Oryctolagus cuniculus: one gene and its partners. The protein of the gene in region 4 purifies or fractionates together with the protein of the main gene of each other region. This does not show direct contact. Links are inferred from orthologs where the notes say so. Each region holds a gene or a part of one and is shown on either strand. Other genes may lie near its edges.

Region 1 (3,297 bases), on a different chromosome or scaffold from region 4:
TATATTTTTGGGAAAAGTCATGTGCTAGATTTAATAGAAAGATAGCAAAGCAAAAATTACTGCTCCCCACTCCTGCCTCACCTTGTAAATTCTATGTAGAATTATGTTGCAGCTTTGGCAAATTCCACAAGTTAACATTGCCTCACGACCCTCCCTAACCCCGTCAGTGTGCTGGGGAACAGATCAGAAGAAGCAGTGCAGTTGCTGACACTGGGAGTGCGACTGCTGCATGCCACACACAGAATTCTATGTGTGACTCACTCCCAAGATGAACCTTGCATGTCACTGCCTTTGACAGATCAGAAAACTGAAAGCTTTCAACAGTGTCAATGATGACTATGGGGAAAAAAAGCGGCTTTGAAACCCCTGGGTTCATGGAGTCTAAGAATACGGCCTTGCCTGGCACTCACATACCACCAGTTGCGAACAAAGCTCTTTTAAAGCTGGAATTAAGATTAACGCATGGTCAGAAACACTGATATCATTATTATCTGTACTAACCTGGAGGGGCCCAAGACAGCTTGTCAGGTGGAATTTATGAACTCCAGTACACAGAATGGTGATTTCTTCAAGATGGCAAGTAAAACTTTGGGCACGTTTGTGAAATTCAGTCAGTAACCTTACTGCTTGAGACCAATACTGTTCTCAAAGCCAGAGACGTCTTCAGCTGTCATTATAAAAGGGGACAAAACTCAAGACCCAGCCCAGACTATCACAGAAAGCTTTTATTACTGCAGAGGAAATTGGGAAATGCTGGAGACCATCCACACACAGCAACCTTGATAGCGTGTGTGATCAGGGAGGGGACGCAGAGGGAGCCCTGTCAGCCATGTCTGGGCAGTCTCCCACCCGACACGTGTGCTTGTTAGGAAAGATGTGCGCATGTGCGCGCATTTGTGTCTGTGTACGTGTGTGTGGTGTTCAGAGACATCAGTCTTGACAAGCAGAATTTCCTAGACAAAGGACAGCCAGAACTGGGGATAACAGCTGCACAGAAAACCTTAAAATCGAAATCAAATTAGGCTCATTTTATCAGGAAGTGCGTATTACTCTGATCATGAAACAAGAGCAAGGAGAGAGCGCTATGCTCTACTGTACAGCCTTTCCTTTAGATAAGCGGCTTTGAAAAGTTAAATATTGGCAGGCCTTGCTTCTTGTTAACAGCAAGCAGCACACAATTTCCAAGGCAGCTTTTAACACTATTGTTATCTTTGTTATCTGTTGTTATTTGGATTTTGGACAAAATTGATAGAGTAGGAGCCAGTGGAAGAATCCTGTTTGATCTGGAAATTTTCTGTGGAGAGCCCAAAAGGTCGGAGAACCAAGTTCCCGAGATCTTTTAGTTTACCTGCAATGTAAAAGCAAAAACTCAAATGAATACAGATTGAACAGATGCCAGAAGACACCAACTGATCCTGCCTCACTGATTAAAATATAAAAATTATCTCTGCAGTTAAAGAAACGCTGGCTTTTAATGACAGGAAACCTGCCAGGAGAGTGCGCAGTCCCTATTCCCCACTCAGTGGGGCTGTCACTGCTGATGTCAGTGTCATCCAGCCCTGAGCCTGTGTCCATCAGCTGATCTCCTGCTATGGTGAGAGCTCCCAGCCACGCCTCACCTGCCCAGCACTGATGGCAGAGGTTCCCCCAACAAGCCTATTCTCTATAAAACAGCAGTTGCCACCTGCTAAATTTAATTCAACTCAGCCAATTTCTTCTGAGCCTAGATTCAAACTCAATAGTTCTGGCTTTTCCAAGCAAATCCTGGACATACCAAATTTATCATTTCCTGGGAAATGGGATCCTGTTTACTTGTATAGGGCTGTCAACCTCCATTGTACAGTCCAGTCTCCTGACCCCAAGTTTCAGGTTTTGCTAAGTAATTGCTCCTAAGTGATCTCACGTCCTAAAGTTGAGACCCATGGGATAGCACCTGGGATTTTTATGCTGTCTTCACATACAAGATGGCCATGGTGTTTGTATATCAACATTTGGGACTTCTAGGACATTTCACACATTTACTAAATTCAAATGGCAATGGGATGGAATATTTGAGATTCAGAGTATTCTGGAAAGTCTCAGCTGAGATGGGTGAATAAATAGTTTCAATCATTTCTCAACTGTCATTTTTTTTTTTCCTTTCAGGTCAGCTTCCAATGGAGATGAGAATGGGGGTAGACAGAAAGAGAAATCCTTAATGATCAGAGAGGCACAGGCTCCTTCCCACTGCCACACCTTTTAGCAGCTTTTCTCACTGGAGGCCTATTACTAAACTAGAGGCCAGGTGAAGAAGATGATGCACGACCTTTAAACTTTAAAGGGGCCTCTCTCCTGAAGCGTGATGAGAACTTGTGATCTTGGTCTTAAGATCTGGCCCACAGAGACACACTGAGTTCAGAGAGGCTTGCTCACTCCTAGAGAAAACATCAATAGACAAAGCTCCTAGAATCTGGGATGACCATGCTCCAGGCAGGTTTCCCAAACAAACCTGGGCCACCCACGCTCACTGCTGCTGCTCAGGAGAGGCACTGGCACACAGCAGCAGCACAGGCTCAGATCAGACTCAGTGGACAGATGCCTGGTAGGGGTCTCAACAAGCAAGGACATCACAGGGCATCTTCAAGAAAACGGAGCTGGCAACATTGACCTAGAACTTTGGCAGTCTTTGGTTTTGGAGAAGAGAACAGGTAGGAAAAACTGATTTACAGACGTACAATAACTGGCTCTTGTGACACGGAGAGGGGAGCCTGAGTCAGGGCAGCTCCATCTTGGAGAAGCCTGTTCAGGGTCTCTCCAGACGGTCAACTGAGCCACAGGCACCCCCTGGAGAAAGGATCACTGTAAGCCCATCTCCAGAGAAACACCTTGAAGTAAAAACTGTATATTTACTTGCCATCTGTTGTGGGAGGCACAGATAATTGAAGAATAAAAGCAGCCGCCAGCTTTTGAAGATGTCTACGGGCAGTGGGGAGACAGACACGAACGCCCAAGGTGAGCCCAGAGGCCTCTCGGACTCGGTGCAGGCATAATACAGCCTTCCCGGGCCAGGCCGTGCATTGCACTGACCTGAAGGACAGCATGGCAGGTCCCAGATGACAGTGCCTTGCGCCTCCAGACTGTGCTAAGCGTGGGTGGCAGCAGCTTGGCTTTTGGCTGTTCTGCTCTACAGGCAAAGTCTTCTCATGTAGGAAGACTGTCCAAGCTAAGAGTGCATGTAGATGAAAAGGGAAATTTTGTTTCACAGACCTTCACTTTGCCTACCTGGCTCAAAGACCTGTTTGCTACAGGAAACCTTTA
Region 2 (4,705 bases), on a different chromosome or scaffold from region 4:
GGCCTCCACACTACGACAGTGAGAGCGGCAGCTCCTGGGCCAGCCGCGTGGGTGGACTGGATTAGGCAGTACAAAGGTTGCAGCCATCACAACAGACCCTGAAGGCCCAGAAGCAGCGTATGCAATGTAAGGCACCCAACGCACAGCTTCCCCACAACTTAGCTTGGCGGTTACCCAACTGGCTTCTTCCTTAGAGACAGACAGCAAAGGCCGGAACACACCTCGGCTTAAAAAGTCCAAAGGGCAAGAGGACGCTGGGAGGTAGGAGACAAAGCAGACGAGAAGGCCGCGTACTCACCGGACCTCCCCAACGATCTCCCCCGCCAGTCCCTGCAGGCTGCTCCTCAGCTCCTCCACCTCCCGCCGCAGCGCCACCAGACTGTTCAGCACGAAGTCCAGGCGGTCCAGCACCTTCTCCTGCCCTCCCTGCGCCGGGCCGGGCAGCGCCGCAGCATCGCCAGCCTCCCCTGGGATGGCCCGCAGCAGCATCGCTGCAGGAACGGGAACAGGAGGCCGTGACGCCCCAGCCTTCCAGAAGGCTCCCGTCACATGGCAGTGCAATGTAGAGAAGACCCCGAGCCTCAGCAGTGAGCAGACATTCACGGCGACGTCAGGGTAACAAGTCCCACCCAACTACCCAGAAAAAGATGAAGGCCCCAATTTTTTTTATTTTTTTTTTTTTATTTTTTTGATAGGCAGAGTGGACAGTGAGAGAGAGAGAGACAGAGAGAAAGGTCTTCCTTTGCCGTTGGTTCACCCTCCAATGGCCGCTGCGGCCGGCGCATTGCGCTGATCCGACGGCAGGAGCCAGGTACTTATCCTGGTCTCCCATGGGGTGCAGGGCCCAAGCACTTGGGCCATCCTCCACTGCACTCCCGGGCCACAGCAGAGAGCTGGCCTGAAAGAGGGGCAACCGGGACAGAATCCGGCGCCCCAACCGGGACTAGAACCCGGTGTGTCGGCGCCGCAAGGCGGAGGATTAGCCTAGTGAGCTGCGGCGCCGGCCAGAAGGCCCCAATTTCTAAACAAGAGCCCTCCGCTCCTAGAGCCTTGCACGCCGGGGTCCTTGAGCAAGGCTGTGCAAGATGGCAGATAAGGTGAAACGCTTCAGGAGTCCAGCACCTAGAGGAAGGGCAGCCGCTCTGCTCGAGTTTCTTCACACGACCTTACCTTACTGATGGCCAAACACCAGGCCATCAATCCCGCACCAAACTGCAAAAGTCACACAGCGCACCCACATTCTCATCTCTCACTTCAACAGAACAAGGAAAACTGAGCTCCTGACAGCCTCATTTAATGATATGAGAGAGGAGCAAAGAGAAAGCTGCCCTGGAGAAAGTCCATCCAAGCCGCTCCAGACGCCACGACCAAGCCCCACTGCCCCGACGCTGGATCCAGGGGTCAGTAAATTCCAGCAGTGAAATGCTAGCAGCTGCCTATGGCGACTGGAAAACGTAAAACCAGAAAAAACCAGAGGAGCAAGACACACAAGTTCAAGGGTGTCCAGGCAAGCATAAAGGAAATCCAGTAACAATTGAGGCCAGCCTACAATACACACCCAGCAATGTTCAACAATGCAGAGCAAGAGAGATCGCTGGCAAGGGGGCTACTCTCTCCTGATCTGAGTAGAGGAAAAACTGCTGAAGTGCAAACAAATCCCACGGAAGGGACAGGCAAGACCAGCACCCTTGCAATACTGGGTTACCGCCAGCTTACAGAACGCTGGCAGCGGCTGCAATCGGATGCTGACTCTAAAGCCGCTTCCAAACCAGGTGAGATGGATTAGAGGAAACACTCATTCCCAATTAACACAGGGCGAGATGATTTAGCGCTCCCCCATCACACCAAGGTGAAAGGGTGGGGGGAGGGGAGGGCAGCGGCCTTGAACCGGTCGTAGATGCTTGGCTCACACCAGTGAGTGCGAAGTTTTGCAAAACTAAGAGCACTACTCATTTCAGCCGTGGCTGACTTCCAGCACCTTCCACTTCAATTGCATGAAGCGTGCGTGCCCAGCTCCAGGCTGTGGCAAGTCCACTGCACCAGGTGAGAGGGCCCAACCTTGCCACTTCACTTACTCTGTGATGACCTCAGAAAAGTTACACAATCTTTATCAATCTCAGTTTCCTCCTAAGAAAGTTAAAAAACGTATTTGCCTCCGAGTTTCCTCGGAGAATATCAATATCCAGACTTTTAATTCCAACAAGGTTAGCTATTCCTTTTGTCTTCTTTGGGGCTCTTCCTCTGCTCCACACCTCACCCAACACAGACAGGTGCCTTTAATGCCCAGAAGCACCCCTGCAGCCAGAACCACAAGCGAAAGCGAAGCCGCCTTTTCACTTTAGCCACTGCATAGAGGAAAGAGCACCGCGGAGCGAGAGGACAGATTTCCTTTTCAATGAGTTTTCCAAGAAAGTGCAAGCCTCGGGCAGCCCCTCCCTCCCCCTGCCTCCAGGCCCGTCAGTCTGCAGCGGCCTGGGTCTCCTACCCTGGCGTCCAGGCTCTGGAGTCCGCCCGTAGTCCAGGGCGTTGGGCAGGCTCTGGCTCCGGCCATGGCGCTGAGTCCGTTTCCACCGCCGGCTGTAAAGGACGCACAGGAATCCAAAGCCGGCGGCGGCGCCCAGCAGCAGTCCCAGCCCGGCCCGGGCGCCGCCCAGAGCCCCCAGTCTAGACATGTTGCACCTGCAGCCCGCGAAAGCCACCGGGAGCAGGCAGGCAGGGGAGGAGGAGGGAGATTCGTGAGCCTGGGCCACCCACTCCAGGAGACTCCCCTCGCCCAGACCCTGAACTCCCGACTACCCTCACCCTTATCCGGATCCTAATGCTCCGCCAGTCCCTGGGTCTGACTACTGCGCCCCTCACCCAGCCCAAACGGAGCCCCCCATCCAACACACCCCTTGACCCAGACCACAGAGTCCTCCTCCTGCGTAGTCAGCCTCAGGACGCTGCAAGCAACAACCCGCCTCCCTGGCTGCAAACGCCTGGCTTCCCCGGCGTCCCCTAGCCCGGCAGGAGATCAACTCGACCCTTACCCGGCCGCCAACCACCATGGCAGCAGCCGCCGCTGCCTCACGCTGTCAATGACCGCGACGTCAATGAGACGGCGCCACGAGCTCCACTCACCGTAGGAAGGCGCAGGGAGATGACCTCACGAGGCTCCGCCTCCAGCCCGGACTTTTCCCCGGGGGGCGGGGTCTCGGGCCGGCCAGAGGGGTGTGGTCTGCGGGGAGCGGGAAAGAGAAACCGCGGAGGAGGGAAGGGCTGGGGGAGAAGGAAGGCGGAGGGAGCTAGAGGACGACTTGGCCGGTGCTGGAGCAGGAAGCCCGCGGTCTGGCCGAGCCGACGTCCGCTTTCCTCAGCCCCACCAGCCACCTGTGCCCCGCACAGTCCCGCTCCTGCCTACCGCGACCCCTTCGCTCGCCTCCCTCAGCATCGCCGTTCGGACTTCGGTCCATTTCGGCTTAATTTAATAGCGTGTGGGTTTTTACCGAGGACGGACGGCCGCGCCTGTGGCTGGTTTTCGCGGCGGCCCGAGTCCGGAGGGCCGGCTCCCGCCAGCTGGCACTTGAGCCTCCGCTCAGCAGCGCACGGCCAGCGCCGAGCCGTCAGTCTGGGGCCTAGCGTCGCTGCGTTGTACCTTACCCAGGAACGGAATTGGAAATGTCCGTTTCCAGAATGGATAGGATCTGTGAAATTTATTTCCCTAATGATAGCGATTTGGGGTGAGGCTGAAACTTGACATCCGGTTGCTTAAACCGGTTTGAATGTCATTGGGGATGTTTGTGTTTTATTTATAATGTGTTTTAATCAGTTTTTTTGTGTGTCCACCAGTGGCCCATAGTTTTTTGGTTTTGGTTTTGTTTTCTAATTCGAAAGGCAGAGTGAGAGAGAGAGAGAGAGAGATCTTCCGCTGGCTGGTTCACTTCCCAAATGCCCACAACAGCCAGGGCTGGGCCAGGCTAAAGCCAGGAGCCAGGAACTCCATCTAGTCTCCCACATGGATGGCAAGGTCCTGAATCCTTGGACTATGACCTGCTGCAGTCCCAGGTGCATTAGCAGGGAGCTGGATCCGAAGGGGGGCAGAGGCTCCAGCCAGACACGGGGTCAGCAAATGTCTGCATAACCACGGTGCATGTCGACCCCTGCCCCTCACAGATCACTGTATGGTCCATATCACTCTTGTGACTTTGTGCAACTGCCTTTTTCTTTAAGATTTATTTATTTGAAAGGCAGAGTTACAGAGAGGCAGAGAGAGAGAGAGGTCTTCCAACTGCTGATTCACTCCCCAAATGGCCCCAAAGGCCAGAGCCAGGAGCTTCTTCCGGGTCTCCCACGCTGATGCAGGGACTTGAACCGGTGTCCATAAGGGACACCGGCATTGCAAGTGGCAGCTTTACCCCCCACACGGACATCCCACATGGGCACCTGTCCATGTTCCAGCTGCTCTACTTCCTATCCAGCTCCCTGCTAATGACCAGGGAAAAGCAGCAGAGGATGGCTGAAGTCCTTGGGCCCCGGCAAACCACAAGGAAGATCTGGAAGAAGCTCCTGGCTCCTGGTTTCATTGCAGCCATTTGGAGAGTGAACCAGCAGATGGAAGATCTCTGTCTGTCTCTCCCTCTGTTCTGTAACTCTGACTTTCAAATAAATAGATCTTTAAAAAAAAAAAAAAGCAGGTAAAGAAACTATGGACTATAATTCCAATTTT
Region 3 (4,117 bases), on a different chromosome or scaffold from region 4:
AATATTCTCAGGTTTTGTTTCAATGTATTTTTAATTCACCTAAGCCAATAGACTTCTACATCTTACTTGTTTCATTTACTGAAGATATTGTGAGAAATGAAACTTTTGACATTTTTTTAAAAAAGATTTTATTATTGGTTTATTTGAGAGGTAGAGAGTACAGACAGAGAGAGGGAGAGATAGAAAGGTCTTCCATCTGCTGGTTCACTCTCCAAATGGTCACAACGAAGCCCGGAGCATTTTCCTGGTTTCCCACACTGGTGTGGGAACTGAAGCACTTGGGCCATCTTCTGCTGCTTCCCCTGTCCATAGCAGAGAGCTGGATCAGTCCAGGAGCAGCAGGGACATGGAACTGGTGCTCATACGGGATGCTGACAGCACTGCAGGCAGAGGCTTAGCCTACTATGCCACAGCACCGGCTCTGCTTTTAACATTTTAAATTTAGGTTTGTGATAAGTAGGTAACCATCTTTACCTTTGATTTCTCCAATTTTCCCTCTGCTATATAAAGAAGAACCGTATCACTAATACACTTTATCTAATAGATACTCCTAAATTTGTATAGATAGATAGATAATTATCATGATTTTGGAATTGAACTGTACCCTTGGCCAAACCTGAAACACTGCTCTCTGCTTGTCTGTATCTTAATTTCTACAGCTTTTATGAGCAACTAGCTTTTGATTACTCGTTATCTGTTTATTATTCAATCTACCAAGTTTAAAAATGTCTTCTGTAGACTTATTTATTTTTATAATGATTTTTGTTTTAGAAGTAGTACACATTGATGTTAAACTTTATAAATACAAGAAAAAGGGAAATAAAATTATCTGTATACCTGATATCGAGAGCACTCCTTTTTTAACTTTTTGATGTACTTTTTCCTACTTTATTTTTGTGAATATGAACACTTATTTTGCAAAAATGGGTGATACTGTATTTGCTGTTTTATAGTGCTGTTTTTCTCATATTGTGAATTATGAAACTCCTTGCCATTTACATTTTTCTGTGCTATGTTTTTTAGGGCTTTAATTATAAGATATTTTATATATATATATATGTCTATTTAGCAAGCTATTTATTATAAAACATCAGTTTTTCACTGCAATTTCAAGTATTGTAATTCATAATACTTGTTCATGTAATTTGAAAATTTGGGACATAAAAAGGGTTATAGATATGCTAGAAACTCACATGAAGACATCATTTTTTCTTTTAAAGATTTACTTACTTATTTGAAAGGAAAAGTTACAAAGAGAGAAGGGGAAGAGAAAGAGAGAGATATCTTCCATCTGCTGTTTCACTCCCCAAATGGCCACAACAGTCAGGGCTGGGCTGATCTGAAGCCAGGAGCCAGGATCATCTTCTGGGTCTCCCAGCAGGTGCAGGGGCTCAAGCACTTGCATCATCTTCTGCTGCTTTCCCAGGCCATTGCAGAGAGCTGGATTGGAAGTGGAACAACTGGGATTTGAACTGGTACCTATATGGGATGCAGGCGCTGCAGATGTTGGCTTTACCCACTATGACCCAGAGCTGACCCCTCTTATTTCTTTCTTTTTAAGATTCATTTACTTATTTGAAAGGCAGAGTTATAGAGAGGGAGAAGCAGAGGCAAGAGAGAGAGAGGTCTTTCATCCACTGGTTCACTCCCCAAATGGCCACAACAGCCAAGGCTAGGCCAAATGGAAACCAGGAGCCAGGAGCTTCATCTGGGTCTCCCATGTGGGTGCAGGGCCCCGAACACTTAGGCCGTCTTCCACTGCTTTCCTAGGTACATTAAAAGGGTGCTGGGTTGGAAGTAGAGCAGTTGGAATTTGAACCGGCGCCCATATGAGATGCCAACACTTTTGGCAGCAGCTTAACCCTCTATGCCACAGCACTGTCCCTGAAGGCTTATCTTTAAAGAAACTGATGTCTTCAGAAGTAGGCAATAAGAAATCTATTTCACATTAGATTGATTCTTTTTGTACCATCATATGATTGCCTTTAGCCAAAGTTCTGTGTATTGAGAAATTGAAATTTGGCTAAGAGGTATTGAATTTTTACTGTTGTGATTTTATTAACCAAAGTATACATTTAATTATAAATCATTACAATCTAATAAAATTATAGAAAGAGAAATGATGGCATGGGAAGTTTCATAATACAAAATTTGGTAGAAAAAGTAGTTTAAAAACAGAATATACAACATGTATTTTGGCAAAGTAAGTATTTTTATACTTACTGTTATTCTCATTTATGCTACTCAGCTTTAATTTTTTATAGCTTTACCATGTATAATAAAGTTATTCTTATATGTTAATACATTTGTGATATAAGTGATATTTGGTGGTTATTTTGGTTATACTTAATAGGATATGTATTTAGGTAATCTTTTGTTATTGAGCATTTGTGTTAGGCAGTGCTGTAACAAAAAAATCTCAGGGTTTTTAAAAAATAAAATTAGCAGGGCCGGCGCCATGACGTAGTAGGTTAATCCTCCACCTGCAGGGCCGGCATCCCATATGGGCGCCGGTTCTAGTCCTAGCTGCCCCTCTTCCAATCCAGCTCTCCGCTATGGCCTGGAAAGCAGTAGAAGATGGCCTAAGTCCTTGGACCCTGCACCCACGTGGGAGACCCAGAAGAAGATCCTGGCTCCTGGCTTCGGATCAGCACAGCTCCGGCCATTGCAGCCATCTAGGGAGTGAACCAGTGGAAGGAAGACTTCTCTCTCTGTCTCTCCCTCTCACTGTCTGTAACTCTACCTCTGAAATAAATAAATAACTTAAAAAAAATCAAATTAGCAACGTAACTAATAAAACTGACAAATTTTATTTTTATAAGGTAGAAATAAATTATTATCCGAACTATTAATGAAATATAAAATCATTATTATTACTGTATAGCTATGCTAATTTGTAACCCCAAGTGATCTGTATATTTAATGTATGTTTCCAATAGGTTCATTCCAGCCAACAAATGAAATGATGCTCAAGTTCTATAGCTTCTACAAACAGGCAACTGAAGGACCCTGTAAACTTTCAAGGCCTGGGTTCTGGGATCCTATTGGAAGATACAAATGGTAATTTTACTTATAGAGATATAAAAAACAATTTCATTTTGATGAACTGATGATCTTATAATTCTTATTTACATGGTTATATATTAATTCTGGACACAGACTGTCCCAGATGTAATTTTTATTCTCCATGCTCTTGTCATAGAATTTTACACAAACAAGAAAATGCTGGGGAAGACAGGAAAATAGTAAGACCAATTCCCAAACTAAATTAAAGAAACAAACTTCTCTGCCTCTTTTAGCTGCCAAGAAAAAGAATGACTTGCTTTTCAAGTGACACTGTTTGCTTTGAGACTTTAAGATAATAAATAACTAGGATTATGACTCGGGTGCTGCCACATTAACTTTTTATCTCAGCTGTCACTCTTAACCTACTTGACTTTAGAACACAAATTTGATTTTTAATATGCTTGAAAGAATCATAAACTATTGAGGTACCTCTGCCATTTTCCCAATTGACTAATATTTGTTACCCTTAAATATGAGCGCACTTCAGAAAATCTCTTTAAACTGCTAGAACTATTGGGTCCTTCATATTACTGAAGACTTTATAGAAGTTTTAGACTACACTTTGTCAGCACAGTATGCTAATTGAGGAATTATGTTTTAAGAGCCCCTACATGCTAAATTTTTCTTTGAGAATGGGAAGGACTATCAATTCATTTGATGATCTTTTAGTACTATACATTTCCAGTAGGATCTTTATGAATAGTAGCAAAGTAATAGTTTAATGAAATAGTAATATGCTATTTGATATGTCCATTTTGAGAAAATTTGTCTGCTTCATTTTTTTTCCCCAGAACTGATCTTTGGTAGAGTTATACTCCTACTGGACAAAACATAAAAAGTTTAGCAGTTTTTGTGTTAGGCAAAAATTTCCAAGGACTGTTCTTATTACCTGGGGGTTTAAAGTTTTCCTGTCCCTGACATTTTTATTTTAGAAGTGAGAAACCATTTTCATTTTTAGTCCAAATATGTAAGTTAGGATTAATTAGTGATTAATCAATTAGTAGAAACTTCTAAGTGAAACTTGTGATCATTTGGGGATGAGGATTGTCTA
Region 4 (3,413 bases):
CCAGAGGCTGCAGGAGGAGAACAGGCAGTTCAAGGTACCGCTTCCCCCGACGGTCTGCGAGGGGAGGGCACAGGGCCTGGCTGCCAGATGAGGCTCCCTGGTTTTGCCTTTTGTCCATTTTAACTCGGGGGGCGGGGGGCAGGTTTCCTGGCTTCCTCAGGATCTCAGAAGGATCTGGAACTCCCCCTCGCGTGAAGAACCACTGTCCCCTCAGCAGAAGGTTCTCGACTGTTTAAAAGCTGCTTTAGGAAAAACTGAAAGTAAAATTGGAGGCTAAAAGTAAGACGCCATTGGTCATTTCGAATGCTTCCCGGGCCCCGCTGCCCCTCAGTCGCTGGGGTGGAGACCACTCTGACTGTCCTCTGCTGCTTTCCAAGCTGAAGACGGCGAGGGGAGCGAGCTGCAGGCTGCTGGCTCATTCCCCGCGTGCCCGAGACAGCTGGGGCAGAGCTGGGAGCTGGAACTCAACCCAGGTCTCCCACGGGCATGGCAGGAACTCCAGTCACCTGGGCCAGCACCTGCTGCCTCCCAGGGAGCTGGAACTGGGGATTGAACCCAGGTACTCTGGTGTGGGCTGTGTCTTACCTGGTGCACGGCTGCGGGGCCAACTCCCGCACCTGTGGTCCATTTTAACACAGACGTGGTCCTGACTCGGAGACCAGCAGTGTGAGCAGCAGCGGTCCCTCAGACTGGTGGCGCCGGGTGTTCTCACCGTTTGCAGGAGGTGGGGCTGTGGAGGGAGGGCCCCGACTCCAGCTCGTGGCCGTGGCGCCGGCCGGTTGTGTTGTGGCACGGAGGCCTGTGGTGCCAGTGACCTCGGCCTGTGCCCGGCACAGCGTCTGTCAGGCTTCCATTTGAAATGCTTCAAACGCCCCTCCAGCTACAGAGGTCTGCGTGTGCTCCCCACACGGTACTGGAGAGAATATCCCGAACACCTGACGGTGGGTGCTTTGGCTCCACTTCTTAGGCCTGCCCGTGCTCTTGTCTTGACCGTGCCACGCGAGCATGGGACAGGTTTCAGTCTTAGCTGCCGTGGCGCCAGGCGCACAGGAAAGACGCACTCCAGTTGGTCGTTCCGACAGCGGGGCAGGCGGAGGGAAGCGGCTCCGTCTCAGTGCCTCTTCGCAGCTTCTCTCTGCGAGGAGTAGGTTAGGGAGCCGGCACTTGGCTTCTTGGCTGAATAGCTGAGCTAGGCCTGAAGCTTCTCCCTAAGTACGTCTCCCTCCAGAAACGGTTCTGCATGCCTGCAAGTGAGGGACAGCAAGTGCTGTCACTGAACTGAGATGGGCCGTGCCCCGTGAGCAGGTGTCTAAGATATCATCAGAACAGTCTTGCCGTTGGAAGATTCTTTGTCTTGCCAGACCCTGATTCTTTTGCGCTGGCTCCTTGGGTGTGGCCAACATGTCCCTGAGTCTCTGCTGTGAGCAGGCCCTGCCCTTGAGCTCTGTGGATGGAGTAGCAAGGAGACACTGAGACAGACAGCGGCCTGTCCGGGTGCGAGACGGTCCACAGGCAGAGCAGCGAGTTGCAGGGAAAGTCAGCGTTGTGGGCTCCTCTGCCCGTGGCCTCTGCACCTGCGAGGCGCGTGGGTTGAAGGAGAGGGGAAGGGGGCTGTGGGGTGCAGATGGGGTGGTGACAGGAGATGGGCAGGATGGAAGGCCCGGCCGCAGGCCCCGCGTGCCCTGCTGTCTTGGGCCCAGAGGTGAGGGAGGAGCAGAGGTTCCGCCCCGACGCAGCCTGGTCGTTGGGGGGGGAGAGGGGGTCACGCATCTTTGTATTTGTGAGAAAGAATGTTGCTTTTGTTCATGAGAAGTCCGAGCCTTACATGGAAAGTGCTGGACGTCCAGTCACGGCTGAATACTGCAAGCGCGCTGTGTTCTGGTGGGCCGGCTCCTCCCGGAGCGTCTCAGGGCTCCCAGGTCCCCGCTTCCTTGTTCCTGGTGCTCCTCTGTTTCAGGAATCGATGACCAGGGTAGCCTGTTCTCAGCGTGGAGGACAGAGGAATCAGCGCTGGGCTAGGGGAGAGGAGGAGTTGGGAGACGTGGACAGGGTACACATGGCCCCGCTGGCCCGAGACCTCCCTGTAAACCACGGGGAGCCAGGGAGCGCCCCGTGAGGGCAGGGGGCTGGCATCAGGCATAGAGAGCCAGGGAGCGCCCCGTGAGGGCAGGGGGCTGACATCAGGCATAGAGAGCCAGGGAGCGCCCCGTGAGGGCAGGGGGCTGGCATCACAGGACAGATGAGGGAAGAGGGCCCTTCCTGGGGGTGAGATCCGGGAGACCGCACGCACTGGCTGACCGCCCTTCCCGGGCCCTGTCTGTCTGTCTGGCTGACCGCCCTTCCCGGGCCCTGTCTGTCTGTCTGACTGACCGCCCTTCCCGGGCCCTGTCTGTCTCTGCAGGAAGAAGACGGGCTTCGCCTGAGGAAGACGGCACAGAGCAACAGCCCCATCGCGGCCCTGGCCGCCGCCGGGAAGGACGAGGGTCTGAGTGCCCGGCTGCTGGCCCTGGTGGTCCTGTTCTTCATCGTGGGGGTGATCGTAGGGAAGATCGCCTTGTAGAGGCAGCACGCGGAGGGTGGGTCTACCACGCCATGGGATTTGAATCGATCATAACCTTGTGTAAAAAGAAATTAACCTACGATGACATCTCACAGGTCTTGCCTTTAAATTACCCCTACCCCCCACGTACACACACGCCCAAGTACACACACAAATATAACATACTCTAGCAATCCTTAGAAGGGAGCACTGCGTCGTCAGTGGTCGGGGGATGAGTGGTCTGCATTGACGAGGGAGCTGTGAGGGCTGCCGCAGTGGTGAGGTTTCAGCGCGCTGGGCCTCGGGCGGTGCTGCGAGGCGGGTGCCCCTCCCTGCCCGGGTGCCCCTCCCTGCCCGGGTGCCCCTGCCTGCCCGGGTGCCCCTCCCTGCCCGGGTGCCCCTGCCTACCCGGGGTGCCCCTCCCTGCCTGGGGTGCCCCTCCCTGCCCGGGGTGCCCCTCCCTGCCCGCCGGTGCCGAGGCGGGGTGCCCCTCCCTGCCTGGCGTGCTCCTCCCTCCCCGGGGTGCCGAGGTGGGGTGCCCCTCCCTGCCCGGGGTGCCCCTGCCTGCCCTGGGTGCCCCTCCCTGCCTTGGGTGCCGGCGCTGTGGCAGCAGCCCCTGTGCCTGGGAGCCCCCGCTGCCCACTCCCTCCCTCGGATGCTCTTCCGCGTCCTCAGTCTGTTCCCTGGGACTGGTGGAAAGAGGCGGGCGCCCGGACAGCAGCGTCTCAACCCGGAGGCCCATGCTGGCTGAACCAGCACTCAAACAAGTCAACGCTTCGTTCTCTTAAAGGGACCACGCTGAATTACTGTTGGTTCATGTAGTGAAATCGAACTGTTGTTCAGAGATGTTTAATGCATATTTAACTTATTTAAT
Region 5 (2,803 bases), on a different chromosome or scaffold from region 4:
CTGCCGCCAGGGCTGGGCCCCGGGCCTGCCAGGGCGTGCTCCCCACCCAGCCGCTCCCCGTGAGCTCGCCCTGCTGGGTCTCCGGCCAAGCCCGTGAGCAGGACGGGCCGTGCTTGTCCCCGCAGAGTCCCAAAGGCTTCCTGGAGAGCTACGAGGAGCTGCTGACCTACGCCCTGCGGCCCGAGACCTGGGCCACCACCCGGCTGGAGCTGGAGGGCCGCGGGGTGAGTGGGCGCTCCGGGGTCCCTGGGCCCTGGTGGGGGAGGGGGCGGCCGTGCTGCTCTCCGCCTTGGCTCTCCTCTGCTCCTGGCGTCCTGCCCGGCCCGGCCCGGCCCCGCGGCTCAGGCCCCGCCCCTCCCAGGTGGTGTGCATGAGCTTCTTCGACATCGTGCTGGACTTCATCCTCATGGACGCCTTCGAGGACCTGGAGAGCCCGCCCGCCTCGGTGCTGGCCGTCCTGAGGAACCGCTGGCTGTCAGACAGCTTCAAGGAGACGGTGGGCCGCTGCTCCCGCGCCAGCCCCTGCCCCTGGGGTCGGGGGCCGCCTGTTGCTCCCTCCCTGCTCCCGGGAAATCCAACCAGAGCAGGACGAGACAAAACAAGCAAGAGAGGAGACTAGGATGAGAGCGTGGCGCAGACGCCGGCGGGGCCAGCAGTGACCCCGGCAGCCGGCCAGGAACCTGGGCAGGGGGACCCCTGGGGCAGACGGTGGCTCAGTCCTGGGACCCGCAGTCCCGGGGCCGTACTCAGGTTCAGGTTTTCCACGTGTCTGATTCGAATCCAGGGGAGAACGGCAGGCACCAGGCCCATGTTCCTGCTGGGGGGCGGGGGCCGAGGGCCCAGCCTGTCCTGACAGCAGGCTGGCCCTCCTGTCTTTGATTAGGCCCTGGCCACTGCCTGCTGGTCGGTCTTGAAGGCCAAGAGGAGACTACTGATGGTAAGTGACTTGACAGGCCCCGGGGACGCCGTGTGTCCAGGGTCCCCTCCTGGCGCCCAGCTCAGCTGCCCCCTGTGGGTGGATGCTGGCCCCTGCTCTGAGGGTGCGGGGCTCACCCAGGGGCCTCACAGAGCCCCCAGGCCCCACTGCACCTTGGCCCTCGTCAGTCCCGGCACCGCTGCCCCCTGCCTTGGCCAGGAACTCCCCAGAGGAACCTGTGGGACCACATCCGCCGTCAGGATGTGTCCAGGCCCCGCCGAGGGGCACGGGCATCCTTGGGGGGGGGGGCCGGTCCCTGCAGCCACGGCTCCATCCACACCCCCCGGGCAGCCGCCGGCTCCGCGGCCCTGTGCTCCGGCACTTCCTGTGCCACGCCCACCACAGCCCCGCCTCGCAGCACCCCGCTCACCCCACCTGCAGAAGGGAATCTGGGGCATCAGGGTGCCTCGCGCGGGCGGGACACGGCCAGCTCGAAAGCCCGGCCCTGGCCCCGCCGCCCTCCACAGGTGCCGGACGGCTTCATCTCCCATTTCTACTCCGTATCGGAGCACGTTAGCCCTGTGCTGGCCTTCGGCTTTCTTGGCCCCAAGCCCCAGCTCGCCGAAGTCTGTGCTTTCTTCAAGGTAATGGGGGTGGCTCCTGCTCTCTCTGCCCCAGCACAGGGGCCCGGGGGGCGCCAGGGACGGCGCCAGGGACAGCGCCAGGGCTGGACCTGCTCCTGGGCTGGGAGAGCACGGGGGGGGGGGGGGGGGGAGGAGTCTGGGCGGGGGCGGGGCCTCGGCCCCCACTGACGCCTGCCTGGGCCCCCAGCACCAGATCGTGCAGTACCTGCGGGACATGTTCGACCTGGACAACGTGCGCTACACGTCGGTGCCGGCGCTGGCCGAGGACATCCTGCAGCTGTCCCGGCGCCGCAGCGAGATCCTGCTGGGATATCTGGGGGCGCCGGGGGCCGGCAGCGGCCTGAACGGGGCGCTGCCCCAGGAGAACGGGCCCCTGGGCCAGCTGCAGTAGTGAGCACAGGCCGGGTGGGGGCGGCAGTGAGGGGGCTGTCCGGCCCCTCCTTGGGGTCGGTATCCGGAGGCCCGGACCCTGCCTGGGAGTCCCGGGGGGCGGTCAGCAGGGCCTGGCAGGGGTGGGACCCTGAAACACCCACACCGCAGAGCTGCTGGTGAGGGGCTGGGAGGGACCAGGAGGACGGTGGGAGGCGGTAGGCGGGCTCTGCGGTGATGGTCACGGCGTCCTGAGCAGGGAGCAGCCCGGGGCCGCCTGGTCACAGGGCCCAGGCTCCCACACTGGGGAGCAGCAGAGGAGCCAGGGCAGGGCGGGCCCTCGGCAAACGCAGGCACTAAGCTGGGATGCTGCCCTGTGGCGTTCCGCGTCCTGCCGAAGGCTGACACTGACCCTGCCACCGCCAAAGACGAGGGCATGTGGGGCGGGGGGCTCCCGCCCGCCACCCACCGCCCCTGTGGCTGGGAACTCGCTGCGGGTCAGCCCTGGGGTGCTCCCCAGCAGGGGCAGTCAGGGGATGAGCAGGGCTGGACCAGAGCGAGCCTTCAATCACGCACACACAAACCCCGGGCCCCCGCACATGGCTGGTGGTGGTGCCTGAGCTGGGGACTTTTATTTATTGCCTTAAGACTTTTACTTTGCGCTTCTGCCCCTTCCAGGCGTCCGGCCTGCAGAAGCAGCTCCTGTTCCTGGCCTCCCGGTCTGGGGTGAGAGGCCGGGGCAGGAGGGCGCACCGAGGGAGGGGACGCTGGGCGCGGCCCTGGTGCCCTCCCCCACCCCGACATTCCGTTCTTTTGCACACCCCGCGCTGTGAATGGAGCCCTGGGCCTGGCCCACACCTGCTCTGATTTGCTT
Region 6 (4,117 bases), on a different chromosome or scaffold from region 4:
TTTAAAACTTATCCTCATTATTTTAAAAATGAAAATTATGTAATAATTCTTATTACTCTGGTCAGTTCAGAGGCATGGTTCTTTTATTTGTTTAATGATATGTGAGAGCATAGACTATATTTTTAATATCTCATCAAGTTTGAATATTTGAAATTTATTCTAATAAGGACATAACATGATATTGAAGATTGGCCTGTTAATTATCCAGAGACTTTTCATTTACTTTTCTTACCTCATTCTTGAGCTGATTTTTACAGCTACTTACAGGAGGCATCTTGTGAAATATGATTCAGCAAGAGGAGACATTTTAAACTTCTGCTATTGAAGTACACCTTCCCTTAAGGATTTGGTGTAAAGAAATCCATCAGAAGTGCTTCAAGTGCTGTATAGTGTTCACAATTTGTTGTAGTTCAGAGTTTGACCAAGAGCTTCTTAGCTAGTTTGCCTTGCGTTTCTGCTTTTGATAGTAGACTATAGTTAAAGCGCTAAGTTAAATACGCTGTGGCTCTTCTAAGTATGTATTAATTGTATAATGAATTGATCACTAAAGACATATGAATTTCACTTATTTGTTACTAGGTATTGCATCCCTGCTCTTTATTTATGGAAAAATGTACATGGGCTTCAGGAAAACAAAATATAAATATTATGGTCAAAGAATTTATAATTAAGGTTAGTGCTTGTCATATTTTTGGGTAAAAATTCTTGTTTTTGTAACAATATTATATATTTGCTGTTCCTTGAGATAATATCTTTTGCTGTCTTTTCATAATTTGAGTATCAGTGATAGTCACGTTCAGTAATGAGTAAATAGTTGTAACATTAAAATATATTTTAAATGCAAATGTTTGTTTCTGTTTTCTCTGTAAGAGCACTTTTAATATTTATGAATGAACAAGGTAGTGTTCTGTTATATTTGCACGTGTGTGTTGGAGAGGTTGAGTTCGAGAGGAGAGCAGAGCTGGGGTGGGAGGAGAAAGAATTAGAGGAGGTTGCTGTTATTGTTACTTTTAGGCTTTTATTTAAGTATATTTTGAATTTCATAACTGATATTTTGTTTGGTTCATAAAATATTTGAAATAACAAATGTATGGTAGAAATAAATTAGAATTTTTTTTAAAAATCCCTTATATTTAAAGTATTGAAAAAACAGTTTCTGTTCTTTAGCAACATTTGTATTTTTTAAGTACAACCCTATACCCAGGTAAAAATAGAAGATACAGAATGCTTTCTGAAATCTGTTTCTGTCCAGAGGACACAGAAATGAGATTGTTAATGCCAGTAATGATGGTAGCTTTATTCATAGGTCTTTGACCAACAGTGGTAGAATTGAAATTCACATTAATTTCATTTTATGTACCATGTATGCAACACTGTAATTTTTGTCCAATATTTAAAAACATGATGTAGTCTTAGATTCTGTTTTATTAACGAATTTATACTTTTAGGATATAAAGTAGCAAATGGGGGGAAATTCCTTGAATTTTGCATATATTTAAATCCCTGAAGTACTAGATTAGGTACTAAGAGGACCTTCCACTTTTTTGTACAAAACTTTTTTATTCAGCAAACATGTGTGTGAGAAGGAAGTAAGTAACTCAGTGATTATAGCTTTCAGTTGAGGCATGCTCCAGGTGCTATTGCGAGCATGAGCACAGGTCCTCTAATTCAGACCAAGACATCAGGAAAAACTGGGGGTGAGACTACCTGAACTAAGTTGGGAAAGGCAATGAAACTTAGAAAGATGGAAAGGGAGGGGGGAGGTTTCTCCAGACAGAACTGACAGTATGAATTATGAAAATAATTCTTTAAGCACTTAGAGTAGTAGTTCCATATGTCCAGACAGATGGTGTGGTAGTTTTTAGGACTGAGGTCATCAAATATTAGTGAGTATAATAAGTCAAGAAGAAACCTCATTTAGTTGACAGGAAATTAGGAAAGTGTTGCTAACTAGGTCTTCCTTTTGGTAATGTAATTACGTCTCTTTAGCATACTGGGTAAGTAGAGGTGGAGAGAAGTGAAATGTGAAGGACTGCATTTATCTTACATGACTCAGTGTTTCTTGAACTGTGGGGATCTCTGGCTAGCTGATTAGACACTAGGTCACAAGGAGCTTTGTGTACCAAGCCATATGGAGAGTTTGTATTTTGTCCTGAAAGTTAGAGGAAGTTGTTGAAGATTTTAAGCCTAAGAATGAAATGGCTGGTAGCAGTTGGGAGGGTGATGAGTGGACACACAAAGTACCATCATTTGTATAATGAAAGCATGGTGAGGAAGGTGAACAAAGATACTGCTCCCAAATAAGGCGCAACTCACAGATTTTCAGTAAGATAAAAGGGAGCTATCTGTGTATAACTCAGCAAAAGATCATGCACTTTGCTTACTTAATACAGCTGCTTGAAGAATGGAAAAGTTGATTACACTTCTCATATTTGTCCATTCATATAACATTATTTTACTCTGAAGTGATCAGTGTAAGTTTCAATATGTAACACAAATTAGTTCCAGATAACTGAGTGAGTGGAAATCTGTGTGGTACAGTTAGTTGACACAACACATGATTTTGTGTTCTCTCTTTTGTTCCTGAGTTACAGATTCAACACATTTACATTTTAAGTTTTTAACTTTTGTGTCCTGTATTTGTTAATTCTCAGCTGAGAAAGAATCTATTCTGAACATTTTTTGCTTTCTTTTTTTAAAGATTTCACCCATAATTCTTAATACTGTAATGACAATCATGGCTGCCATGTCTCCAAAACCAAAAGAAGTTGAATCCAAAGATACAACTAAGGAAATGGAAAACCTTTGGAGTATCAAGTCTATTAATGATTATAATTCTTGGTTTCTTGGTGTTGACATGGCAACAGAAATAACTGAAAATTTCAAAGACATTGAAAATCCTCTCATAGAAGAGAATTGTACTCTTGCCGTGGAGACAGTTCAGGTTACCTTGGAATGCGGCCTTGGACATCGAACTGTACCCTTATTACTGGCTGAGTCTAAGTTTTCAGGAAAAATTAAAAATTGGACTTCCCTGATGGCTGCTGCTGCTGACATGACACTACAGGTATGGTCATAGCTCTTAGTCCAGAGCCAGCTTCTTGAAAGTACAGCTGCGGAATGAAGATACAGGCCTTTGTTGTTTATACCTAGCCACATCAAGTATGTAAGTGGATGGAGAATATATTCTAACATTTGGTTTGTTGGTGCTTAGTATTTTTTCATACTTATTTTTAAAGAGTTTTTGCTAAATAATTTTTTGTTGCAACAAGTAATAGAGTAAATGAAAAGATGCTCTATAATTTTATGTCTTTAAGTGAATTTCAAAATGGCTATTGAGATATAATATCAATTACTAAATATTTTTCCAGCTGGTTACAGAAATATGTAAGTAAAGTTGAGAAAGTCATGTATTACACTTCTGTGCCTTTCCAGGTTCATTATTACAATGAGACCCATGCTGTCTGGGAACCACTGATTGAAAGAGTGGAGGGGAAGAGACAGTGGAATTTAAGTCTTGAAGTAAGTAAGGAAATGGTTAAATATCTTTGTATAGAGTGACATTATACATATCTATTGATACTTTTAGTTCAATCATTGCAAGATGTGTTCCAGGATCCTGGAAGGCCTTTCCTGAAATTCATGAGGTCAAATTCTACTTTTGTAATAATATTCAGTCATTTATATCATTTTAATTTGTATTCTCTTAGGAGCATTCAGTAGAGTTTTTCAGAGATTATATGAATATGAGATTGGAGCAGTTTGAGCCAGGACAGAAATGGTAGCTCCTCTCTCTTCTCTTAAGGAGGCACCACATTTCATTGTTTATGTATATATAAAGAGACAGAGATCTTCCATCTGCTGGCTCATTTCCAGACATCCACAGTAGCATGGTCTGGCTAAACTGAAGGCAGGAGCCTGCAGCTCAGTCCTACTCCATGTCGGAGGCAAGGATTCAAGTATTGGAGCTATCATCTGCTGCCTCTCAGGGAGCACGTTAGCCAGAAACTGGATTGGAAGAGGAAAAGCCGGGACTCAAACCCAAGCATATCGATAAGAGCATGTGACTGTCCCGATCAGAAATGCTGGCTTCTCACCTTTTATATTTTTAAGTAGT
Region 7 (4,846 bases), on a different chromosome or scaffold from region 4:
TTCATAGATTATGAAAATAAAAGAAAATTATGAAACAAAAGAATACAGTACAACAATCATTCTATTCCCAGAGGTCAAGTTTGGTGAAGATCCAAGCTGAGGTGAAGCTTGGGTGAATCTATTCAGTTTACAGTAATCCCAGCAAGCCTAATCCAATTTTGAGATTATCTCAACATCAATTCTCAGTATAGGCCAACTCTAAAGCAAGGCCAATCTGGATTTTCATGGCTACCCTCAAAAAGACCTATAATCACAGAGCCAGCCTTTAGCCCACATCATTTTAGACACAAAGAATAAAATGACTTGCTATTTACTGCCCTGCTTAAGCGACTGTACAACTAATTCTTCATATATGTAGTTCCAAGCTATCAGCCACATTCAAATCATCAATATATATTCTCCAATCCTTCAGAATCCTGATGTACTAAAGATGTTCAAGTATACAGAGTTCATTACCAGCATTCAATGTGTCTTCTATTTTCCCTTGAAGTGGATACCCAGCCTCCCCACCCCCACCCCCATTTACTAAACTTCCTATAATTTGGGATTGGGTATCACTTTATTTTCACAAAACAGTATAGAATTTCTCTGTTGTTTCTCTGCAAGAAAACAGTTTAACACGAAAGTATCGGCGGAGGGGTGGGGGTGGGGGACTTCTAAACAGCCATTAGTGATCTCCAAATCATAATGCTGAAGATCAGAAAGGAGTTTAAGTATTAAAGAAGAAAAAAAAGAAGGGTATTAAAAATCTGTATGTAGCCAGTAAGGCAGGAGATATTTGTCCAAGTATTCAAAAACTAAAAGCGTAAGGAGGCAGAAAAAGGATACACTAAAGTAAGAACAGGAAAAAGGAAAATTCTGTCTGGGCCAGAAGCTCCCAAGAACCCCAGATTAGGGCCTCTAGTGACCCTCGATTGAGACCCACACAAATTTTGCATTTGCAGAGTCACTTAATTCCATGGTGCCACTCACTGAGATTACTCTACCTTGAATAGATTCCATAGGATTTTCTGATTATCACATCATCTGAAACCCATTATTACTCTTCATTTCTCTGAATCATGGGATTTCATAATGCCAGGCTTTTTGGAACATAATGTTCAGTTGTCTCTTTCATGCCTACCTAAAGATAATCTTGAACAATGTGTTTAAGATTCATTAATGTTAGGCCAGCGCCGCGGCTCACTAGGCTACTCCTCCGCCTTGCGGCGCCGGCACCCCAAGTTCTAGTCCCGGTCAGAGTGCCAGATTCTGTCCCGGTTGCCCCTCTTCCAGGCCAGCTCTCTGCTGTGGCCAGGGAGTGCAGTCAAGGATGGCCCAAGTGCTTGGGCCCTGCACCCCATGGGAGACCAGGAGAAGCACCTGGCTCCTGCCATCGGATCAGCGCAGTGCGCCAGCCGCAGCGTGCCGGCCGCGGGGGCCATTGGAGGGTGAACCAACGGCAAAGGAAGACCTTTCTCTCTGTCTCTCTCTCTCACTGTCCACTCTGCCTGTCCAAAAAAAAAAAAAAAGATTCACTAATGTTTGGACTTTTTCCCTTTAAAAATTATGTAGAGAAAGGAAGTGGATGGTTGAAGGACAGCAAAATTAATACTGTTCCTTTTGCAAGCTTTGCCTTTTGTAATTCAGAGCTTGCACTTTCCTCCTCTGCCTAGTGGAAGTGAAGTTTAGTGGAAAAAGAAAGCCAAGAATTCAGCGTCCTGATTCCACTATTTACTCCTGCTATGTGATTTTGAGCAAATTATTTAAAAGCCTGCAGCCTCAGACTCCGAAACTGTGAAATGGGAATATTAAATAGGGATAATGAACACCGACCTTGCAGAGTTACTGAGAGTAAAAGGAAGAGATCACTAGAATGGAATAAAAACTCAAGAACAGAGAACAGTGAGTATCTTCATTCCTGTTGATTCCTGCTGGCATGGAAACGCACATGGCAGGAGCTCAATATTTTTTAAATGAGCGAATAAGTATGTGTTCTCATTTCATCAACATTAACCCTTCTTCCATAATCACGTTTTTCCTTTGCCTTCTATTATCTCCTAAAGCTCTCAAGACATTCTATTTTGTTCTTTTAAGTGGCTTTCTCCCTCTCATTGACTATTATTAACTACACACCATTCAAAGAAGTACCTTTGGAAGTCATTTCTCTCTAATTCCACCCACATTCCATTTCTAATGCAGCGGGGGCAGAGGGGATAGTCAGACAAGATTCGCAGTCATTCAGCCACTTGCCCATGGCCACTGACCCGTGTTAACGACATGAAGCCTGAAGCCAGACCACCCCAGAATGTAACTTTCAGGGGCCACCGCACCGCCCCTTTTCTCTCCCTGGGCTAACAAGAGACTCGGGTGTAGGACATGCTCGGCTCTCAAAAGTTAGGCAGTCGGTTACGCTTGCCTCCCCCGGTACAGGGGTGTGTCCCTTGCAGGAGACACTCAACCTGGACAGAGAGGAAGGATTTCGGATCCCTTGGTGTGGGTCGGGCATGACCTTTAGACCTGGCCAGTCTCGTCTGGCCACTGCTCTGAGGAAACAGGAGCTCTTCACTCCCGGGAGGGAAGCTAAGGGGTGCGGCCGTTCACAGAGCCTGAGGGGACAGTGTAAAGTCCATGACAACGCGAGGACACAGAACAGCCCGCACGACCGGAACCTTTCAGCCACGACCACGACCGCCCCTTCTATTCACAACTGCGCCGGACCCCACCACAGCCTAACACCTGACCCCCCAAAATAACGCGGCTCACCCCCCCACCCCATAAATCAGACAGCCAGTGCCTGCTGACTGGTTGTGCCCGCATCTCCTTCACCCTCATTGGCTGTCTGGGACGCAAAGCCCTCCCCGACGAGGGACCCTCCCGTTCGGCGGCACCCCCAGCCCAGCCACCTCAGCCCGGCTATCCGAGACCCCGGCCCCCGCCTCCATCCAGGGAGCGCGCGCCGGAGGCGCTCGGAGCTTCACCCGAGGACTCACCGTGTAGTAGGAAAGCAGTCCAGCGTTGTAGTCCAGTACGAACCAACGGTACTGCCAGCCCTTCATCACGTTAGTCCATTTGCTCAGCGGCCCTTCCACGATGGACGCCATCTTGGGAGCCGCCAATGACAACAAACGGCCTGACGTCACTCGCCTATATGGCTTTCAGCATGCGGGGGGCGGGGCCTCCACGGGCTGGGGCGGGACAGGGGCGGAGTCTGCAGCGGCCTCTCCGTGTGGATTCCTCGAGCCACGCCCCCTGCGATCGCCTTCGAACCCCTGCCTTTTGGTGCCTATTGTGTGTAGGACAATATGCCAGGGATACGAAAATGCAGACACATAAATAATTTTATAAGCAATGCTGAAAAGACTTCACATCTGATATTCATTTGTGCATTAATCCCACGAATTCAGTCGTTTAACAAATATTGTATGCTAAGCACTCTTCTAGGCTTTGGGGTAGAGCGGAGCCTTCTTGATGGGTAACAGGCAAGGCATAGTAAGTTATATACTAAAAAATGGCATGTGCTATGGAGAAAAATTAAGCAATGAAAGAGAGAGAGAGTTAAGGCTGCTATTTTAAATGCCTAAACTGGGAAAACCTGAATAAATTAACTTTCGTGTTGTTGCTGTTGGTTGGTTGGTTTTTTTTTTAATTTATCTTCATGCATTTCATAAATACAGCTTTAGGAGCATAGTAATTCTTCCCACCGTACCCGCCCTCCCACCCACACTCCCACTCCTCTTCTTCCCTCTCCTGTTCCCAGTCTTGTTTTTTACTAAGATCTATTTTCATTTAACTTTTTAATACACAGAATATTAACTCTATTCTAGGTAAAGAGTTCAACACTTTGTATGAAGAAGAAAAAGAAAGAGAGAAAGAAAAAAAAAGTTTCTCCAAGAGAAAGTAATTTTTGAAGAAAGACCAGGAAAAAGTGAAAGAGGGAGACTGGAAAAAAGCCTTCCCAGGGGAAGGAATAGCAAGGGTGAGGAGTGAGTGAGTCGGCAGTAAGGAAGAGCAGCAAGGAGGTCATGCGAGTGGCACAGTGAGCTGGGGAGAATGTAGGCGAAAAGTCACTTACCGCCTGCAAGGGCAGTTTCAGTATTTATTAGCCACCTACAGTAGCCAGGCGTTCATAGTGCAAGACCCTGGGAATACAGCAGTGAACAAGCCAGATAGGTACATTGCAATCTAAGAGCTTACATTCTATGATGAAAGCAAAAAACATTAAACAAGTAAGCAAGAAAAGTATGCAATACCAATAAACCCTTTGCAGAGGATTTACTAAGGTGACTGACCCAACAGAATAGAAAGCCAGGGCGAATGGTCAGTGCAGGCTTCTCAGAAAGTGGCATTTAAGCTGAAACTGAGATGTGGAGGATGAGAAAGTGTCAATCATGCAAATATCAAGGGGAAAGAGCTAAAAAGCAAGCTGGTGAATGGAGGCATTAGCTAAAAGTGGAAGCGAGGTCGAGGAGGTCTTTTTTTTTTTTTTTTTTTTTTTTTTTTTTTTTTTTTGATTGAAGGAAGTAGTGAATGTTATTTTGCTGATTTCCAGGAGAGGGAAAAACTGGTGACATCCTGGAAACAGGAGAGACTAGCAACAGTGAAGCCCTCCATTGGGCTGAGACTCCCTAAGCCCAGGTAAAAGAGCTGACCTTTGATAAAAGCAGAGATACTTCACCCATAGTAACAAGAAAGGGAGCTGAGAGTATGAGTTCAGATACCAGTTGGTGGGTAGTTAAGTGGAGGAGAAATGAATGAGTTTTGCCTGATTCTAGTTAAGTGGAGGCTCAAAGCTTAGTAGTTAAGAATGTGGACTCTGGGGCTGGTGCTGTGGCATAGTGGGTAAAGCCACTGCCTACAGTGCCAG

Evidence for each region.
Region 1: the proteins of VAPB (region 4) and TTC1 purify together in Homo sapiens (affinity purification with mass spectrometry; 4 studies listed by BioGRID and IntAct, counting the BioPlex papers as one, with this or other methods). This does not show direct contact. The link is inferred for Oryctolagus cuniculus from reciprocal best matches to the Homo sapiens genes VAPB and TTC1.
Region 2: the proteins of VAPB (region 4) and RMDN3 purify together in Homo sapiens (affinity purification with mass spectrometry; 4 studies listed by BioGRID and IntAct, counting the BioPlex papers as one, with this or other methods). This does not show direct contact. The link is inferred for Oryctolagus cuniculus from reciprocal best matches to the Homo sapiens genes VAPB and RMDN3.
Region 3: the proteins of VAPB (region 4) and ACBD5 purify together in Homo sapiens (affinity purification with mass spectrometry; 4 studies listed by BioGRID and IntAct, counting the BioPlex papers as one, with this or other methods). This does not show direct contact. The link is inferred for Oryctolagus cuniculus from reciprocal best matches to the Homo sapiens genes VAPB and ACBD5.
Region 5: the proteins of VAPB (region 4) and MIGA2 purify together in Homo sapiens (affinity purification with mass spectrometry; 3 studies listed by BioGRID and IntAct, counting the BioPlex papers as one, with this or other methods). This does not show direct contact. The link is inferred for Oryctolagus cuniculus from reciprocal best matches to the Homo sapiens genes VAPB and MIGA2.
Region 6: the proteins of VAPB (region 4) and VPS13C purify together in Homo sapiens (co-immunoprecipitation; 3 studies listed by BioGRID and IntAct, counting the BioPlex papers as one, with this or other methods). This does not show direct contact. The link is inferred for Oryctolagus cuniculus from reciprocal best matches to the Homo sapiens genes VAPB and VPS13C.
Region 7: the proteins of VAPB (region 4) and OSBPL9 purify together in Homo sapiens (affinity purification with mass spectrometry; 7 studies listed by BioGRID and IntAct, counting the BioPlex papers as one, with this or other methods). This does not show direct contact. The link is inferred for Oryctolagus cuniculus from reciprocal best matches to the Homo sapiens genes VAPB and OSBPL9.

Annotation. Positions count from the first base shown.
Region 1 is NC_091437.1:47,008,672-47,011,968, reverse strand, and holds the end of TTC1 (tetratricopeptide repeat protein 1), read right to left. Parts: exon of another isoform or gene 2,199-3,297; coding exon of another isoform or gene 2,146-2,198; intron 1,349-2,145; coding exon 1,215-1,348; 3' UTR 711-1,214; downstream 1-710.
Region 2 is NC_091443.1:63,896,706-63,901,410, forward strand, and holds the start of RMDN3 (regulator of microtubule dynamics protein 3), read right to left. Parts: upstream 3,129-4,705; 5' UTR 3,030-3,128; intron 2,680-3,029; 5' UTR 2,673-2,679; coding exon 2,486-2,672; intron 1,691-2,485; exon of another isoform or gene 1,559-1,690; intron 492-1,558; coding exon 299-491; intron 1-298.
Region 3 is NC_091444.1:103,234,710-103,238,826, reverse strand, and holds part of ACBD5 (acyl-CoA-binding domain-containing protein 5), read left to right. Parts: intron 1-2,939; coding exon 2,940-3,060; intron 3,061-4,117. UniProt on the Homo sapiens protein: Acyl-CoA binding protein which acts as the peroxisome receptor for pexophagy but is dispensable for aggrephagy and nonselective autophagy. Binds medium- and long-chain acyl-CoA esters.
Region 4 is NC_091442.1:3,747,948-3,751,360, reverse strand, and holds the end of VAPB (vesicle-associated membrane protein-associated protein B/C), read left to right. Parts: coding exon 1-34; intron 35-2,401; coding exon 2,402-2,560; 3' UTR 2,561-2,652; downstream 2,653-3,413. UniProt on the Homo sapiens protein: Endoplasmic reticulum (ER)-anchored protein that mediates the formation of contact sites between the ER and endosomes via interaction with FFAT motif-containing proteins such as STARD3 or WDR44.
Region 5 is NC_091432.1:232,203,329-232,206,131, forward strand, and holds part of MIGA2 (mitoguardin 2), read left to right. Parts: intron 1-125; coding exon 126-224; intron 225-361; coding exon 362-496; intron 497-883; coding exon 884-937; intron 938-1,443; coding exon 1,444-1,560; intron 1,561-1,747; coding exon 1,748-1,951; 3' UTR 1,952-2,803. UniProt on the Homo sapiens protein: Regulator of mitochondrial fusion: acts by forming homo- and heterodimers at the mitochondrial outer membrane and facilitating the formation of PLD6/MitoPLD dimers. May act by regulating phospholipid metabolism via PLD6/MitoPLD.
Region 6 is NC_091443.1:84,938,928-84,943,044, reverse strand, and holds part of VPS13C (intermembrane lipid transfer protein VPS13C), read left to right. Parts: intron 1-579; coding exon 580-672; intron 673-2,701; coding exon 2,702-3,067; intron 3,068-3,435; coding exon 3,436-3,522; intron 3,523-4,117. UniProt on the Homo sapiens protein: Mediates the transfer of lipids between membranes at organelle contact sites. Necessary for proper mitochondrial function and maintenance of mitochondrial transmembrane potential.
Region 7 is NC_091438.1:121,319,960-121,324,805, forward strand, and holds the start of OSBPL9 (oxysterol-binding protein-related protein 9), read right to left. Parts: upstream 3,129-4,846; 5' UTR 3,084-3,128; coding exon 2,973-3,083; intron 1-2,972. UniProt on the Homo sapiens protein: Interacts with OSBPL11 to function as lipid transfer proteins.